Linked DNA regions of Caenorhabditis elegans. The protein of the gene in region 2 interacts with the protein of the main gene of each other region in a biochemical or structural test. Each region holds a gene or a part of one and is shown on either strand. Other genes may lie near its edges.

Evidence for each region.
Region 1: the proteins of pup-3 (region 2) and dsh-1 form a complex in vitro, tested with the Caenorhabditis elegans proteins (one study listed by BioGRID).

The regions. Positions count from the first base shown.
Region 1 is NC_003280.10:5,214,675-5,223,417, forward strand, and holds the start of dsh-1 (DiSHevelled related), read right to left. Parts: upstream 6,001-8,743; coding exon 4,482-6,000; intron 4,368-4,481; coding exon 4,292-4,367; intron 3,994-4,291; exon of another isoform or gene 3,790-3,993; intron 2,981-3,789; coding exon 2,859-2,980; intron 2,812-2,858; coding exon 2,571-2,811; intron 2,517-2,570; coding exon 2,341-2,516; intron 1,903-2,340; coding exon 1,666-1,902; intron 1,618-1,665; coding exon 1,450-1,617; intron 1,158-1,449; coding exon 991-1,157; coding exon of another isoform or gene 949-990; exon of another isoform or gene 446-948; intron 371-445; coding exon 258-370; intron 1-257.
Region 2 is NC_003279.8:5,529,302-5,537,422, forward strand, and holds pup-3 (PAP-associated domain-containing protein), read right to left. Parts: upstream 5,349-8,121; 5' UTR 5,221-5,348; intron 4,412-5,220; 5' UTR 4,410-4,411; coding exon 4,215-4,409; intron 3,924-4,214; coding exon 3,824-3,923; intron 3,777-3,823; coding exon 3,592-3,776; intron 3,222-3,591; coding exon 3,113-3,221; intron 2,959-3,112; coding exon 2,830-2,958; intron 2,778-2,829; coding exon 2,585-2,777; intron 1,998-2,584; coding exon 1,460-1,997; 3' UTR 1,315-1,459; downstream 1-1,314. Other genes in the region: cpd-1 (Peptidase M14 domain-containing protein), read left to right, coding at 1-80, 127-218.

The sequences.
Region 1 (8,743 bases), on a different chromosome or scaffold from region 2:
GAGTTATTTCGAAAAACTATGTCAAAAATGTTAGAGTCTACCGTGTTATATAAAATTGGAACTTTTGAAGTCAGAGAAATTCAGACGAAAGTTTTTAAATTTCCAGTGCCTCACACTTTTCACTTTTTTCCAACTTAAGAAACAAGTTCTTTTGGTGTGGTTTTGAATTTTATTTTTTTCTTGAAAATGTTTAAAAAAGCTATATATCTTTACAAAATACAAAAATTTCTTTGTATGTTTATAGTGGAAAAACTCACTGTTTTCTAATTCCACCGCCACTACTTCCACTGGTTGTACTTCCTTCTCTTCTCTGTTGCTGCAATTGAGCTGGTGGGAATGGTGAAGCCGGCATTGATGCATATCCACTTACCTGTTTATATATTTTTCAAATAATATATTTCTCACTTTGCAATGTTCGTGTGGTGTGAAATATAACAACATTCTTTTGATTCAGAATATTATTTATTATTCTGTCATTCTTGTGGGTGGCAACATTGGACTGATACATTTACATGCTACTGAGAAATGAGGGGGCGAGAAAATAACAATGATATCGAATATAAACAATAATTTTAGGGCAAATGCAATAGAAAACAAGACGTTTTTTTTCTTAGTATAGGGTGCATCTATTTCAGACAAGGATGTGGGGAACTCGTGAAGAAGATCGCAATTCGTGTGAATTTGAGAAGGAAATGCAACAAAAAATCGACGGACAGATTCAAAAATAGAATAATCAAATAAAGGAAAAACATCCAAAATTACAATCACCGGGAACATATGAAATTTTGATTCATGATTGGAGACTTAGAAGTTACAAAATATTAAATTAGAACTTATTGTAATACCGGGTACATGGTGTACTGTGAGAGAAACTATTTTGAATTATGCCATTTTGGCATTGATTACCAGACATAATGAAACATAAACATGAAGAAAAATGATGACATTCTAAATGTGCATTACATACATGCGCGATTCGCCGTCGCTTACCATTGACGGAGCCATCCCTTTAAAAGCTCCAGGAGGGCCAGCCATACCTCCAGGTAAATGTGGGGGTGGGAGCATCACAGAGCTTCCGTTGCCAGCAGACATTCCGTTCATTCCGATGGTCCATTGGTATTTGGGTCCACCATCTTCATTTCGGAATCGGGCATAGTCTGGAAGTAATTTAGAAGATATAACAAGAAGGGTTGAATTTCATGTTTTGAATCAGGCAGGGCAGCCTTGAATGCAACCAACTTTTTTGCATTCCTATGGAGATTACAGGCAGACATTTTTGTGCATCAGTGAAAAATTTGTTTTAAAAATATAATTTGAAAAAAATAATTTTTTAAAACAAATTTTTAACATTTCAGTTCAAAAAAATTGCATTAAAGATTTCAAAAGACCCACTTCCATCTTCATATACAAAAACTTTGACATTTTCCGAATAAATGTATACTTTCCTACCTGAACACTCATCTCCAAGGACATAATAGCACTGCTCAGTGAATGTGACCTTGTTCACCACATGTGCAATATACTTTAATTTCAGTAAATCCGCCGCAAAGTTTCGTGCTGTCTTCCGTTCTCGAAGCCCTTCAACATGATCCAAAAGCCATTCGACCAGATCAGATCCTAAAATTGAGAATTAGAATAGGCTCTACACGTTCATTCAAAACTTACCCAAGAACGACATGGGAATCGGAATTTTGAGCCATGTTCGATTTTTGATATCAAGACCAGAGCCAGGCATAGCCATTATTTCGACAACCTTCTTTTTGTCAGTGTGTATATCAAGAATAATATGAGCTCCGCCGCCGACTACTGTATTTTGACCATTTGATCCGTTTGAGGTCACCGTTGAGCTGCTTGGCGGTCGACCATGAGGCCATTCACCAGGAATTGGTGTCGGTGCACTTTCTGGAAAAAATTTTTTAATTAATAGATATTTGTAGGAGAATAACGTAGAAGAAGAACAAAAAACAACATCGAGGCTGTCTTCCTGCCTGCCTACCTGTTTTCAAAATTTTGGTGCAGAAAAAAGGTTTGACTTAATTTTACATTCAGCCTTCAAAATTAGAGATGTGAAAAATTTCATATTTTTATTTTTGTTTCAAAAAAAAATTGAAAATTCCAAAAAGCTTTCCAAATGTTGTTCTACTTTAAAATATCCTAAAACATCAGAAGTCTGAAAAACATCAACTTGAAAGTAGCGAAGAAATGCACTGAATAAATTTCAGCCTGAAGTTGAATAGGTTGAGAGTGCAGCTTATAATTTTGCAAAAAATAAAAAGATCAATCAAATAACAGGCAGGTATTTTGTTTAGTTTTTCTACACTTCCAATCAAAAAACCATACCTTCAACTATACTTGGCATTCCTCTCATTGCATTCGTATGCTGGATCCATGCTTGAGTATCGATTGGTCTCACAGGCTCTTCTCTGCTATTCCTTGGTATTGTGAAACAACTTTGCCCATTTTCAAAACTTTTCGCCACAGTTAATTTGATGGGGCCACGACGGCTAACAGCTTCTCTGAAAATTCATATGTTGAAGAATAAGCTCTCAGTAAAAAATAATAATTTTTACCGTAACACATCAACAGCTTGATCGTTAGTGAAATTCTCAAAGCTGGTCTCATTGACTTGTAAAATCATATCACCAGCTTCAATTCTTCCATCCAATGCCACTGCACCTCCCTTCATGATATTTGCTACGTAGATTCCATTATCACCACAATTAGAAGTTTGACCAACAATTGAAATGCCAAGGAAATTGACTGTATCCATATTGAGGTTCACTGTTATTACATCAAGGCTCATAGAGGACTCTGGAATTCGAATGGTAAAAGTTATGCTAATTTCGAAGAGGTCATACCTGTGATACTTGAAAACGAAGATGCTCTAGAGGGTTTTCGGAAATTTCTTTTATTCTTCTTTTTCTTTGCCATTTTTTCATGTTGTCGGGATACTGATGTGAAATCGGTTGTTGTAGAGCCTCTGAAAAATTGAACGTTTTATAGTTGAAATTGTTATAGATTTTTCAGAATTTTCAGTCCAACTTTTGAAAATTGAGTCTTATTGAGAAACTTAAAGAAGCTTTGCATATTCGATGCCCCACAAAATAAATACAAATGATTTTAAAATTTAAAAAAAAACTGTAGAAATTTTTTAAAATCGAATTATTAATTTATGATAAGCGAAAACTGGTTAATTTCCATTTTGGACTGTAAATAAAAATTTCATAATTTTTTGAAAATCTTACTGTGGTTTTCAGTGATTTTTGCAACTCGTGAGTAACTTTGAACGTTATCAACTAAAATTTTACATGGTTTTCACTAGCTAAAAAAGGAAAACTAATGAGAATTGTGTTCCGTGAAATTCTAAATATAAGCGGAGCACTGCACAAAACAAAATGTTCAAATTCCTTAAAGTTACAACCTAGAAGTTTGTTCCACAAAATCCGAAAAGAACTGAAAGATTTATCGAAAGCAATTATCCACTTCTCATCCATCTCTTTCCACCCGTTCTCACGTCCTTTTCTTCCCCTCCCCAATTTTTATTAGTTTCCTTCAAATAGTGCACAACACTAAGAGCTTGTTGTGATAGTCACTACCAGGCTTTAGCTAGAAGATAAGCGCCAAGCAGGAATTGCTCAAATTTAACGAGCTGTGTCTTATCGCAGAATAAATGAACTGACACGTCGCGAGTTGTGGCACCCGTGCTGCTCGGCGGAGCTGTTCCAATTGCATAGTAATAATCAGAAGTTGAAGTGGAAGTTGTTGAATAATAGGCTTTACCATCAGAGCTTGCGAAATCATCGTCAGTTATGTAGCCGCTCATTTCACTATTTGAGGAGCGGAAGGGCGAAATCATTGGGGGCAGAGTGAGCGGGGATGAAGGCCCGCTTTAAGCCTAGTCATTTGTCACTTTATGTGACAGACAGAGAAGACACAAAAAAAGGTATTAACTATTTGAGAGGCAAAATGAAAACCATCGAATTTTTGAAAATATTTAAAATTTAAAATTTCAAAGGGGTATTGCCTATTCGTAAACTTGGTTTTGTTTTTATGAGTTGTTATATTTTGAATGTAAATTTTTTTCAATGTTGCATATTCCTTGAGATAGCCCTGCAAGACCTGAATGTAGCCCTATTATAACTTAAACTTTTGCTTTAATTTTTTATAAATAAAAATTTGCCGAATAAAATACACTAAATTTTGAAAGGAACACTGTCACCAGAGTACTGGCTTTACATAAAAATTCAATGAAATGAAACCTATGTTTATAAAATTAAAAAAAAAAACATACCTATCATCATCATCTGAAAATACTCTTGCATCGGATTCGGAGCCAATTGTTGATTCTTCGAGATGTCGTCGGTGCCCTGGAATTTAAGAAAACTTAGAATTCGATGCTTTTTCAAATTTTCATAAGATTTTGTTTTTTGAACCTATTACCCTTTACTTGATCACATCATTTTTCGCCATCATTTACCTACCGATCAAATAAAACGATGCATCTGCACTAAGTTCAGAGGTTAAGGATAGATGTGACGTCCTATGTAGAAATCCAATAAGATGTCTTCTCGGCGAAGCATCCGGTGCAACATCTTTCCTTCCTTGATAAGTACTTGTTGTATTTGATCCGCCGTACCTTCGCATTCTGCGCTTCTGTGCTCGATCCGCTCTCTCCTCTTCCACCATTGCCGCTGTACTTGCTGTTTCTTCCTCATAAAGTGGCGGAAGCGATGGACTAGTTGGAATCAGTGACATTGTACGGCTCATTGTGCTTCTTCGTGAAACAAGAGGTCGGCAATCAGATGATAGACCACTTCCATCTACAGTGACCGGCCGACACCTATCGATTCGGTTCAAACTTCGACTTTCAGATATAGTAATACTAGGAATAATAGGTGGACGATCGGTGGTTATTTGACACGTTTTGGATTTTCTGAGCTCCCTAGATGGCGGAGCAAGTGAAACAGGGGAATCAGGAGCCGCAAGGGAAAAAGTTGGTCTGGCTAATGCTGCAGCTGGTGCAATGAGATCCGGTGGTGGTGGCTGAGGTGGGCTCAGATTCTCTTTGAATTCTTTAGTATTAGATCGAGAACTTGATGGTGATGGAGATGCAGACCGAGATTTTGAACCACCAAGTGAAGTTAAAGACGTTAAACTTGCAGCCGAGTGGGACAATCTGATAAGAGCTCCAAAAAACGATGAAGAGGCGGAACCACCACCGGACTCTTTTCCGTTGGCGCCTCCTGCACTTTTTTCGCTTTGTTTCCGTCGTTGTAAAAATCTGCGCTTCGTTGTCGTCTTAGTATTATCCCCCTCTTCGTCGTTACAATCATCTGATGCTTTGCTGGTGCCGGGAAACAGGAGAGCCCCCTCGCTGAGCCGTTTTTTAAGTGGACCACCGAGCGCATTTGAGACCATCTGTCGCCATGTGGATCCGGCAGGTGTATGATTATTTGTGAGATCAGTTAAAGTCCGTTTTAATCGAAATGGTGCCTCAGACTCCGGCTCCACACGACTTTTACTTCTGCTCTTCTTCAACTTTTTCCCCGTACTTGGTTGCTGCTGGCTTCCTGAATTTTCCTTATCATCAGAAGCTTTGGAGGAAGGGAGAATGTTGTTCAGAATTTTCAAATTTCCTAATGGATTTCCTGTATATTTCTTCCTTCTTGGACTTTTTACAACTTCCGAGACGATAGTTTTCTCATCATCAACCAAATCAAGATCATCAATCTTAGCAAGTGGTGGAGCCTTTTTCTTCTTTTTTGGTCTTGACGATGTATTTGTAGGTGACGTTTTCAACTCAATCTTGTTAATCAATTGTGATACAACTCCCGGCGAGTGTTGTCGATTTGGTGGAGGAGCCGTGTATGTCGAACGGACTTTTCGTTCTTTTGAAGTGAATAATAATGAGCGAATCATATCAGATGAAGTGGATGGGGTATTTGAGGAGCCAGAAGGAGATGGAAGGGCTCTATCTCGAGCTCCAAGCTTGATACTCATTGCTCGCTAGTGAGCTATGAGCAATCGTGTCGTTCTCTAGAAAATCGGTTTTAAGTTTTTGATAGTAATAGAGCTGGGAAGTAATAAAAAAGCTTGAAGGTAATAAAAAGAAGAGAAAGAAACGAGAAACACACCTCGATGGGGGGTCATAAATTTCCCAGCATCCCATCTTGTGGCTCATGATGCACTTGGATTAGAAACAGATACTTTCGTTTTACTTTTATCATGTGCTGGGAATTTAGAGAGAAACTGAGAATTTAATAGTCGACACATCGGGAAAGTTGGTACTCAAAATAATCCTGTTGACACCATAAACACTGTCGTTAAACTTTAATCGGACTTGACATATGTCATGTTAAATCTCAATTGACTCGACTATGATAGTGACATCTAAAATTGATAAATTCCTATATAATGAGAAATGCAAAGATTGAGATATTATAATTTTAATATAATATAATTGGTCTATGAGTTTGTTAAGATTCAAGCCATAACAGTAGAAAAATTTAAAAAAAACTCAAGTTTTTATACGCTTAAATCTCGATGTTATTTTGAAAGACAAATGTTTGCTTTCATTTAACTTTTATTTAATTAATCGTTAACATTCACTGATACATCTAATAAAATTAAAATTATAGTTCAATACGTTTCGGTCGAAACTATGTGGCTATCAATTAATAAGATTTTCCCCGTTTCGCAAAAGAGCTTCAGAATAAGTGTTACCATTTCTCAACTAACAAATTTCTTCAACTGGTGGGCTGGAAAATGGCACATGACAACTAAAACCAAGAGCTCACTATCAGTTATTTATATCAACAAATTGCAACTTGACTTATGGCTCACAGTCAAACACCGCAGAGATCCAGAGGAAAACACAATTTGCTATGGTCAGATTAAATGGCAGTTGCTTAAAGAATATTGATCGAAAATTTTTCATCATGACTAGTTGAACAAAGAGTTGCAAATTGATCTCACTGAAACATGTTGCAATGGCTCTTGATGATGACGAAGTATAAAATCAAATGTTTGAATCCACCTACACACATGGGCTAGCAAACATTGATCGGAGGCAGGAAAAGCGGATAAAGCATAGAAAAGATCATTATCAAACTGTCTTTTCTCCCCAAAATCCCGATAGGTATCATGATAGAAATCACAAGTGAGGGATATCCGAAAGTAAATAAAACCACAGATCTCACTATTATAAGGCAGATATCTATTTTCGTGTTAACGAGAATGAGAGCAATATTATGAGATCCTGGGGTGGGTACTAGAGACTATTTCGACACAAAAACGATAATAGTGACAAGTAGAAACATACACAGAAATCGACAAGTGAGCGGACAAAAAAAACTAACTAAAAGTGGGGTGAAGTGGTATGAGGTCTCGAGAAGAGTGTTCAAGTGGAGAGAGAGACAGAAGGAAAGCATCTTGATAAACACTGTGATAAACTCATCGGTCTTCGGGTTTTCATTCCCACTGACGTCGAGCACAGAGATATAGAGAACGGTTTCTCACAAAAAGTGGTGGAGCAAGCAAGGAGCCCGGTTGACCCCCTAACAGAGAAGTTCAAGGACTAATGTTACAAAAGATCGAGAATTGGATGTCAAAGAACATATTTTTCCAATTAACAATGCTTACAAATTCTACCGTACACTACAGTTCTTAAGGTCGCAAAGAGATATTTTTGGTATCTGGTTAATAATTTTTTATTCTCTAATGTCGAAGCTAAACTAAACTAGCTGTGACTTGTTCGCAATTTACCATTTTCAGATGTCATTGTCAGATATTTCAGAACAAAAATTTTTGAAATAAAACAGCTGGGTAGCCTTTCAATGCAACTAGATATCCTGAAAATAATAATCTATTTGTTTCAAAAGTAACAAAATACTTTTTTTTTAATTTTCAACAAAAGAGAGTTTGGATGAATTTCTAATTTGGAGGAAAATTAAAACAGATTATAAAATACGAATTTTATAGAATTTGAGAATATGCTCCTCAGATTAAATTTTCAGAAAAACACAATGAACTAAAATACTTTGAAAAGAAGTTGTACACAAAAGGGAGAATTTCAATTGATTTATACACCCAGCTACCAGGTAATAACCACAATTATGTGATTTTAATTCCACGTAATCACACTGGGGAAATCATCGATATGTATGTGTGTGTGTGTGATTAAATTGAAATGAAATGAAATGTATGTATAAACATTGAATGAAAGCAAAGAAGGAGGAGATCTCCACTCATTGAAATGTGTGTTGGTTGGTTGACTGGCAGCCAGCCAACAAGATGAGCCCAGAAGATAGAATTGAAACAATTGGTCCTTTCTCTGTGCTCTCTCATTTCTTTATGATCTATGAGAAGTGATCTGGGAGATCGGCTCATTAACACCAACATAAAACATGAAAATCAACGGAAGGACATGATGGGGTGAAAGTGTTGAAATGATGTGATCAAGATTTTATGAGGGGAAGTTTTATTGGGTTCACTGACACAATGTAAAAGTTTGCGAGAACTTTCTTAAGAACTTTTTGAGACGAGGTTTTTCTTCCAATTTTTTCTGAAACACTTGGGACCAAGTTCATCGTGTTTCCCGTTTCTCAATTACCCCAAAAGCTAATGTTTGTTTTTTTACCATACAAAGCCTTGAGCCATCTAAGCATTCACAAAAATGCTCACTAGCCTTGACAACTGGCTATACGTGTAATTAGGCACTTTTGTGATTGCATGAGAGGCCCAC
Region 2 (8,121 bases):
AATTTTAATGATTATCTGCTGCACATTTATGTGTCGTCAAAGAGTAACGTCCGTCCTGAATCGGCGAGGTTTCTTTAATGGTATGCTGAAATTATTTTTAGCTGATTTTATTCCATTTATTTCCAGGAATGGGATCGAAAGGAGGATTCGAAAGAATTCCATTGTATAAATCGGATGATGAAGATGAGGATGAAGTGTTCGATTTGCAGAAATTATGAAATCATTTAAGATTCAAATATCTGACTGAATGGCTGGCAACTCTTTCAAAAAACGGGTCTTTACTGATTTTAGTGATTCTTAATTTATGTTCCTGTAGATTCCGATGGGTATTTAATTATTTTTTTTAGAGATTTCAATTTGAATTTTAAATCTTGTGATTTTTCTTGATGAACTGGTTATATTTAACTTCTTAATGTCACTCTTTTTGATGTGCTTTCCAATAAAAATACAACTCTTCCACAGAAATACAAGCTTTTTCTCATAATGTTTTTTGGAGAAAACCCCTCAAAAATCAACAGTTGAGTAGTAATCTTCTGTTGGATTTAAGGGATTTTTTTTAGAACTTACTCAAAATCCAAATTAACGCAAATTAACGCAAATGAAATTCGCGATTTCAAGCTCAAATGTAAAATCAGGGAAATTTTTAGAATTTTTTCAAATAGATATTCGGATTCAGGGGCAAAGTTGGATTCAAATAAAAATATTTCCCGAATTTCGGTACTCTGTCGATACGTAACTTTTCGTATTTACCTTAAACGACTTTGGTATTTTGTCAATTTTTTTAAAGCAAAATTTCGGTTTTTATAAGTTTTATAAGTTTTTTTCCTAAAATGTAGTTGCGTATGTATTTTTTTAAAAGTTAAAAAGTTTTTAAAAAGTGTATTTTAAAGTGTAAAAAAAGTGTAAAAAGTGTACCAAAATTAGTGACTCTGGCCGTTCACCAAAAATTCGCTTTTTTTTAATTTTTAAAATTTAAAAGTTTTTGAAAGTTTCTCATTCCGTAGAACTTACATTTGAGCTAAAAAAAACTTAGCTTTTTAAATAAATCCATAAACGAACTTTTTTGATTATTTCGGTTTTGTTTTTTGGTTCATAATTATTTTTTAGTCGGAGCCCCGGTATGCATGTAGTGAAAAATTATTAGGTACGCACGCCTAAAAAAATAAAGACTATGTTGTGTTAATTTCGTAATAAAAACAGTTTTTTCTTTAACAATTTAAACTATTACTAGCTTTACATATTATTATAGTTCAGTTTGCCAGGAAAATTGTTTTCGCGTTTTTCAAAGACAGTTTTGATGTGAAACGAAACGGATATTATTAATATATTTTATTAAATTCACATAGAGTTCTACAAGTTGAATTAAAAGTGATCGATTGTCACTTACCGACCTAAAAATGTTTGATTATAACTATTTCTACTTGCAAAACCCTATATAACAACTCAATTATTAATAAAGTCAAATCAAATTTTCAAATATCGCATATGGATTTGTACGAAGTAGCTCAGGCCATAAATTATCTCTTCTTTGATTTTCAGTCGTTTGTTCTGAACACCAGAAGACCTTTGGGTGTTGATTTGTAGGTGAAAAGGTTCGAGGACTTGTGAAATCAACGACTGTACCCCATGGAACTTCTTCTTCAGTCGGCAAATTAGCAATTCTTAATTTGCGAAGCTCATCTTGAAGAATCATAATTTGAAGATCTCGTTCCATTCCCTCTTTTCTCAATTTTCTACTCCAATTGCATTGGTAAAGATTGAAAATTGTCTTTCTCTTCAGAATTCGCTCGTACTCCTCTCTAAACTCGAGTTGAATTCTTTCCATGTAGTTCTGCTGACGGACGGTTCCAGCACAGTTTCTCGGAATTTCCAACAATGGATCCGCGACGACAATAAAACGGCAATCCTTTGGCATTCCATTTTTTGGAACTCTTGTCTTTGACCATTTCTTTTTCAACACGTTTCCATGTTTAATCGAGATCCAATTCCATTTGAAACTGAAATGTAAAACATGAGTTATTACATAACATTCTCATATTCTCTTTCAGTATGGCGAAAAAAAAACGATAATTTTCTGATTTTTTTTAAAATGAATTATATGTAACTAATTTTACAGTGAAGAAGTGGTGCTTACTCATCTAACATAATCAATCGAAAAATTTTGTACTAGTTTTATATTGTAATATTTTTTACATGTAACTAGTTATGTATTTTTATTTTTCAGTTAAACATTTCAGGGGTTGCAAAAATGCTCTAGTTTGTCAGAAAAAAGTGGCAATTTGCAAAATAATTGATTGAAAATTTGTAAAATCTAAACAATTTTTGGGAGTTGTTTGTTATGATTTTCAGTTATCTTAAACAGGTAAGTAATTATATTAGACCAGATGCTGACCGCGCCTCCGGCGCATCCAACTGGTTGGAATAAATTTCAAATACCCCTTGAAAATAACATTGAAATTTTGAAATTAATTTGATTTTTTTGAAAATGAAAACCTGCCTACATTGGACGGAAGGAAACTCTACTGTATATATAGTAAATGATGATTACAAAAATCAAAGAAATATAAGAATAAACAAAACTCACTTGAACTCTGAGTAATACTTCATGAATCCAATGAAAAGCACAGCTAGACTGCTTGTGTTCTGATTGAAATCGAATGCTCCTTTTTCCAGAATTTCAATTTTCAAGTCTCTTTTCATATAGTTGTCATCCTCCACGACTATATCACCATTCAACTCGGGAAATATTTCTTGAATGTTTAGAAGAACTTGAACCGCTGGAAAAACCATAATTTAAAGTTTGTATGTTTTGTAGTAAATTGTGCATACTCTGAAGATAATGGATGAGCATCAAACAGAGGGAAAAACTGTTGAGCCGTCCTCTGCTGGCTCCTTCGACTCCACAACTTGCCGCCCATGCTTTCATCGCTTTGCACAATAGTGGAAACCTTGTGTCTACTGAAAATAATCAACTATTAAAAAACTGATTTTTTTTCCTTTTGATAAAACCAATTAGAACAGATTTGTGAGCTATTAAAGTTAAGCCACGAGGTGAAAAAACTTATATATTTCAAGAAACATCTTGCATAAAGTTTTAAGAGAGTTAACTTACATTGACTATAAAATGCCAAAAGCTGAGTGTTCCGTTTTGAGGTATCATTGTCGATTGTAACATCAATTGATACTTTTGTTTCCGCATGCATCAGTTGAAGAACCGGAATCTGAAAATTGGTCCAGTTTTTAAAAAATAAATTTAAATTTTGAAACTCGCTTTTTTAAATTATTTATAATACAAGTTTATCGGGATAATATTTTCCGCTGAAATTAGTACGGCTGAAAACCGGTTAGAACTGGGTTGGTTTTAATTGGAAATCTTCTAGTTTGAAAATTTTTCTCAATTTTGCCCTTAAAAAAATCCCCAATATCGATGTATCTACACTTTTGTGCGGGAGAAATGTTAAGCAGACATATCTGCATGCCTTTGTAGTTTACATTTATTATTATGTTTTGTTTCTATTAACTTGTTAAGAGCTCATTTTAAAAAGTCGGCAGGCAGTTTTGTATTTTCAAATATTTCAGAAAAAAACGTACGTTTCCTTTTTGCACATAAGCCTTCGAGAAGATTGTGTAGTAACAGCTGAGTTCTTTTCTCAACTGCATCAATTTCAAAAATGGATTTGCACCTTCCAAAGTTGGAACCTTGACGGTAAAATCAATATCAGAGGAGAAGATGTCAACTCCGGCAGGATATGATCCAGTGATGAAGCATGTCGAATCTCAAAATGACTTTTGGTATTAAGCTTTTATAAAATGTACTCTGTACCTGGATATTCTTGTTTCATGACCGCTCTGAATTGAGCTGCTGCCTTTCGAAGAGGTTCTTGATGATGTGTGTCGACGAAGGATTCGATTTCTTGATTTATCTGAAAATGTAATTGTTTTAACTATAAAATTCAATTTATCAAGAATCATACATTTGGGGGCAAACTTCTAGCATGACAATTTATCAAAAGCTGTGCTCAGACGAGTTGCCAAGTTGGCTAAAAGGAAGTTGGTAGATACGCTTTTAAACAAAATTGCCAGTTTGGCAAGAGTTTTGCAATTTTGGCACGAGGTTGTAAACGAATAAAATTTGAAAGTTGCTAAAGTTTGGTAGAAAGTTTCGCCCAAATGTTGAGTAACTGTTTTCTTAAACTACTGAGTTTCAAACTTACTCTGTGCTCAACGTATGTATTTTCAAATTCGAATCCCTGATCATTGGAAGTTCCAGCCTGCTGCGTGATCTGTTGAAAGCTCAAATTTGAAATGGCTTCAAGTTTTGGGCATTCTGGAGCTTCAGGACAATATAGTGCAAGGGGGGCTGGACCTCTGGGTGTGGTAAGTACTGATGCATATGTTCTTGGAGCCATTTCTGAAACAAATAAAGATGGAGAATGTAGAAGAATAATCGGAGATGTTTTTAAATCAGAAAATTATGCAAAACATTTACAGATTGAATGGATAAACAAAAATGATGAAAAAAGTAGAGCAATGACAAGGTTGTGTACGTAAGACGCTCTATTCATCGTCTCTTCATACAAATATCGGTTTTACGAGTAACTGGAGATGGGAGGCAGTGTGCTCCTCCTCCTTACCAATACAGAATTGCCCTTGTGGGATGTCCAAGGGTCAGTTGAACACAAAATAGTGTACTTGGCAAGAATAAGGAGGATGACACAGCACGGAAATTTTTACAGTTTATAGCATAAGGACGGGTCATCACAGAATGTTTTTGAACATTTCTTGAGAAAAAGATTTATGTATGCATAGGTATGTAGGCTTGCAGGTAGGTATGAGAGCAGGTCGACAATCATGAAGGTACACATGTAGGCAAGCAGGCGGGTACGTAAATATAAATAGGCGCCAGACTTCCCGCGGCTGTTTTTGTTACATTAGAAAATGTATCGATGGGTAGGTTTTTTACGTGGATCGACATTCTACGAACTTGATCACTAATTATATTTATTTTGTTTTTTTTTTTAATTTCATAATAATTCACCGAACTCTGAGAATGCCGGCAATATGAAAAAACAATCCCGAATTTCCCATTTTCCAAATCGGACGCCGGATAGGTAGGTTCGTAGGTATAGGCACGTACGCAGCAGGCAGAGGTTGGACGGATTCCTACCTCTAACTTGACGCCTAATAGAAATAGAGTGCAACAAGTCAAAAACAACTTACAGAATTTTTTTGGAACAAAAAGTGATGCGGCTACTTTTCAATTCAGTGAACTGATAATGATATCATTGATGAGTATTTCTAATCAGTTGAGAAAGTACGACCTATGATGCCACGTGACAATATTGGACACTATAAAAACTGAAATTATTAAAAGGGTCCCAACTCTCCTAGAGGTACGCAGAAAAAAGTTTTTTGTGACATCAAAGGTCATGTCATCCTGAAAACCTTCGCGGGCACAAAGATACGTGCTCCGACATGCTCCGACGGAGGCACTCCAAATCGCAGTAGCAACTTTAGAATTTCCGCTATAGATGGAACAGAAGCATCAAGTTTCAAAAACACTTCTTAAAAAGTAAAAATATGTTTCATTGTTCAGTATATTCTTTTTCTGTGGAAAACATGTTTGATAGTAGACTTGAGGTTGCCACGTTTTACTGAGGACAAAAAAGAAAACGCAACGTTTCAAAACGTTAAATATGATCACAGAATGTTCTCGAAGATGGTTCACAAATTTTGAAAAAAAATAAAAAGGGGGAGGGGAATGCAAATAGGAAAGGTGCATCTCTTACGTGTTAACCAGGCTGGACGTTTTTGACAGTCAAACAAAGAATCGATTTTTATTGTTGGGAATTCAATTTTTCTCAACAAAATAAGCATCGTCCGACGCAAGTGAGCAAAGGGGTCTGTTCAGTATCACATCAAAACACGAGAACAAATCGATAATGGCATCAGAGGAAGGTAATTCGAATTGAGGTGAACAGGATCCAAAAGAAGGAAAGAGATTATTCAAATTGGTATCAAATGTGAACAAAAAGGGCACCGTTGAGAGAGAATCGGGATTTTATGAATGTTCGTTTGGGATTTCTGGTTAAAAAACGAAATTGAGTGAGGGAATAGGTGACAAGCAAAATGGAGTTGAATTGATTTAAATGATCTATGTACATGCGTGACGCACAATTACAAATACATAAAAAGTGTTATGCATGTTTTATGTTAGCACCAGCGGAAAATTGATTAAAACCACTTCTGTATCGCTAAGATTAAAGGGGTTTTTTAAAGTCATATTTTGTCAGTAGACACATATACGGCTGGCATCTTTTGACTAAAATATTATATTGTTTGATAAATAATCAGATTAAACTTCTTAATCTAAGTTTTTTCCACAATACCGAACTATTTCCAAAATCAACACAGAAGTAACATTTTAGTGGGTTCTTGAACGCGTTCTTACAGAATTCAAGTTTTCTTATATGCGCCAGAAGTTAAATTTTAAATTTTCAGGATCTCAAACATTATCAAGAAATTGATGATACGCTGGAAAAGTGCGCTGGATATTTAGAGAGGGAAGTTTTGAAGGCAGAGATAAGAGTGACTACTGTTAAATAACAAAACATAAATTATAGGGACAACATTTCTGAATAAATAATATAGCAAAAAATGAAACTTCAGTTTTTGCGATTCTCCTTTTTTTGGAACAAGACAGGCCAATAAACGCCTACCGAACACTGAAGGATGTGTGTTGCTTGGGAACAATCGGGTGGATGAAAATATAAGAAACGCAGACTTGGTACATCCAAGCAGGTGACGTCTCTAAGGTGGCGGAAGATGAAACGAAGCTGGGTGGCATTGAATAATTGATGTCAGAATGTGACAAGTATTGTTTTGTGGAAGATATTGATTGAGTTTATAAGATCTTATCATACTATCGAAAAAATACGATCGCACAATTTTCTCATAATTTATTTTTGATCTACCTGTTGAACTTGACTCCGCCCCTTCCTTCGATAAGACAGCCACAACAAAATAAAAACGGCAACAAGATTGGGAGCCGAGTCCAGTTCAACAGGTAGATCAAAAATAAATTATGAGAAATTAGTACGATCGTATTTTTCGATAATACAAGAGTCTATTATCAACGTTATAATTTTTAGGTACAATTAATTGTTGTTGATTAAATAATACAGAACCTTTTTATTCAAAAAAATCCTAAGTGGGTAAGAATTGTTTTTTTTCTGAACAAATCGTAAGGGGGTAACGAGGATTTTGGAAACATGCGGTAGTTAAGTGTTTTCCACGCCTCATCATGACTATGTTGTTTTTTACTGCCAAAACTTAGCCATCGATCCTTAAACGGCGTTTTTCGGCGGAGAAGGACGGGGCTGTGAGGTTTTTGCTTTTTTTTTTGAAATATCCATCTATGCCCCATTTATAGAACTTTAAATAAAAGTTGAACCACTCCGTACGCTTGTAAACTCCGCCAACCTCTGCGGAACAAAAAAAGTTCAAGGATCGATTGATAAATTTCGAGAGTAATAAAGTATTTAACTTCAATGTAAACATTTTTGTATCTAAAAATACTTAAAATAATTATTTATTGAGCTGTTATCCCATTGTCTCTTCTCAACTTATAAGAACTGATTCTGGTTTTCCTTTTGCAAGTAATCTTCTGAAATTCTTCAAACCTTTGCGCTTTTTGTTCCATTCTCTCCTGGTCAATTCCCATTTTTTCCAAGAACTCATGAACAAGAGCAGAGTAGTTCTTTGCAAGTAATTTTTGTTCCCTATTTTTTGGGGGAAAAAGTAGATTGTTCACCGAGAACCCTTTTTCCTTACCAACATCATTCTGTCAAAAAAGGGAGAAGCCATAAAGAGAGGAAATGAGAGCAGTTGACTAGTGAAAGACAAAGAGAACCAATAGAAAAGTGAGAAGAAAAAAGGAAAAAGAATTTGAGTATGTATATGTTTTTGGAAAACAAATGTGAATTGAGCAAAAAAAGAGCAAAGTGACATGTAGAAATGATGTGTGTATGAAATCAACAATGACTACTACACACTTTTCCTTTTTTATATAGTTTATGATTTTATATATACCAACTCTAACTAAATGAATGATTTATCGAA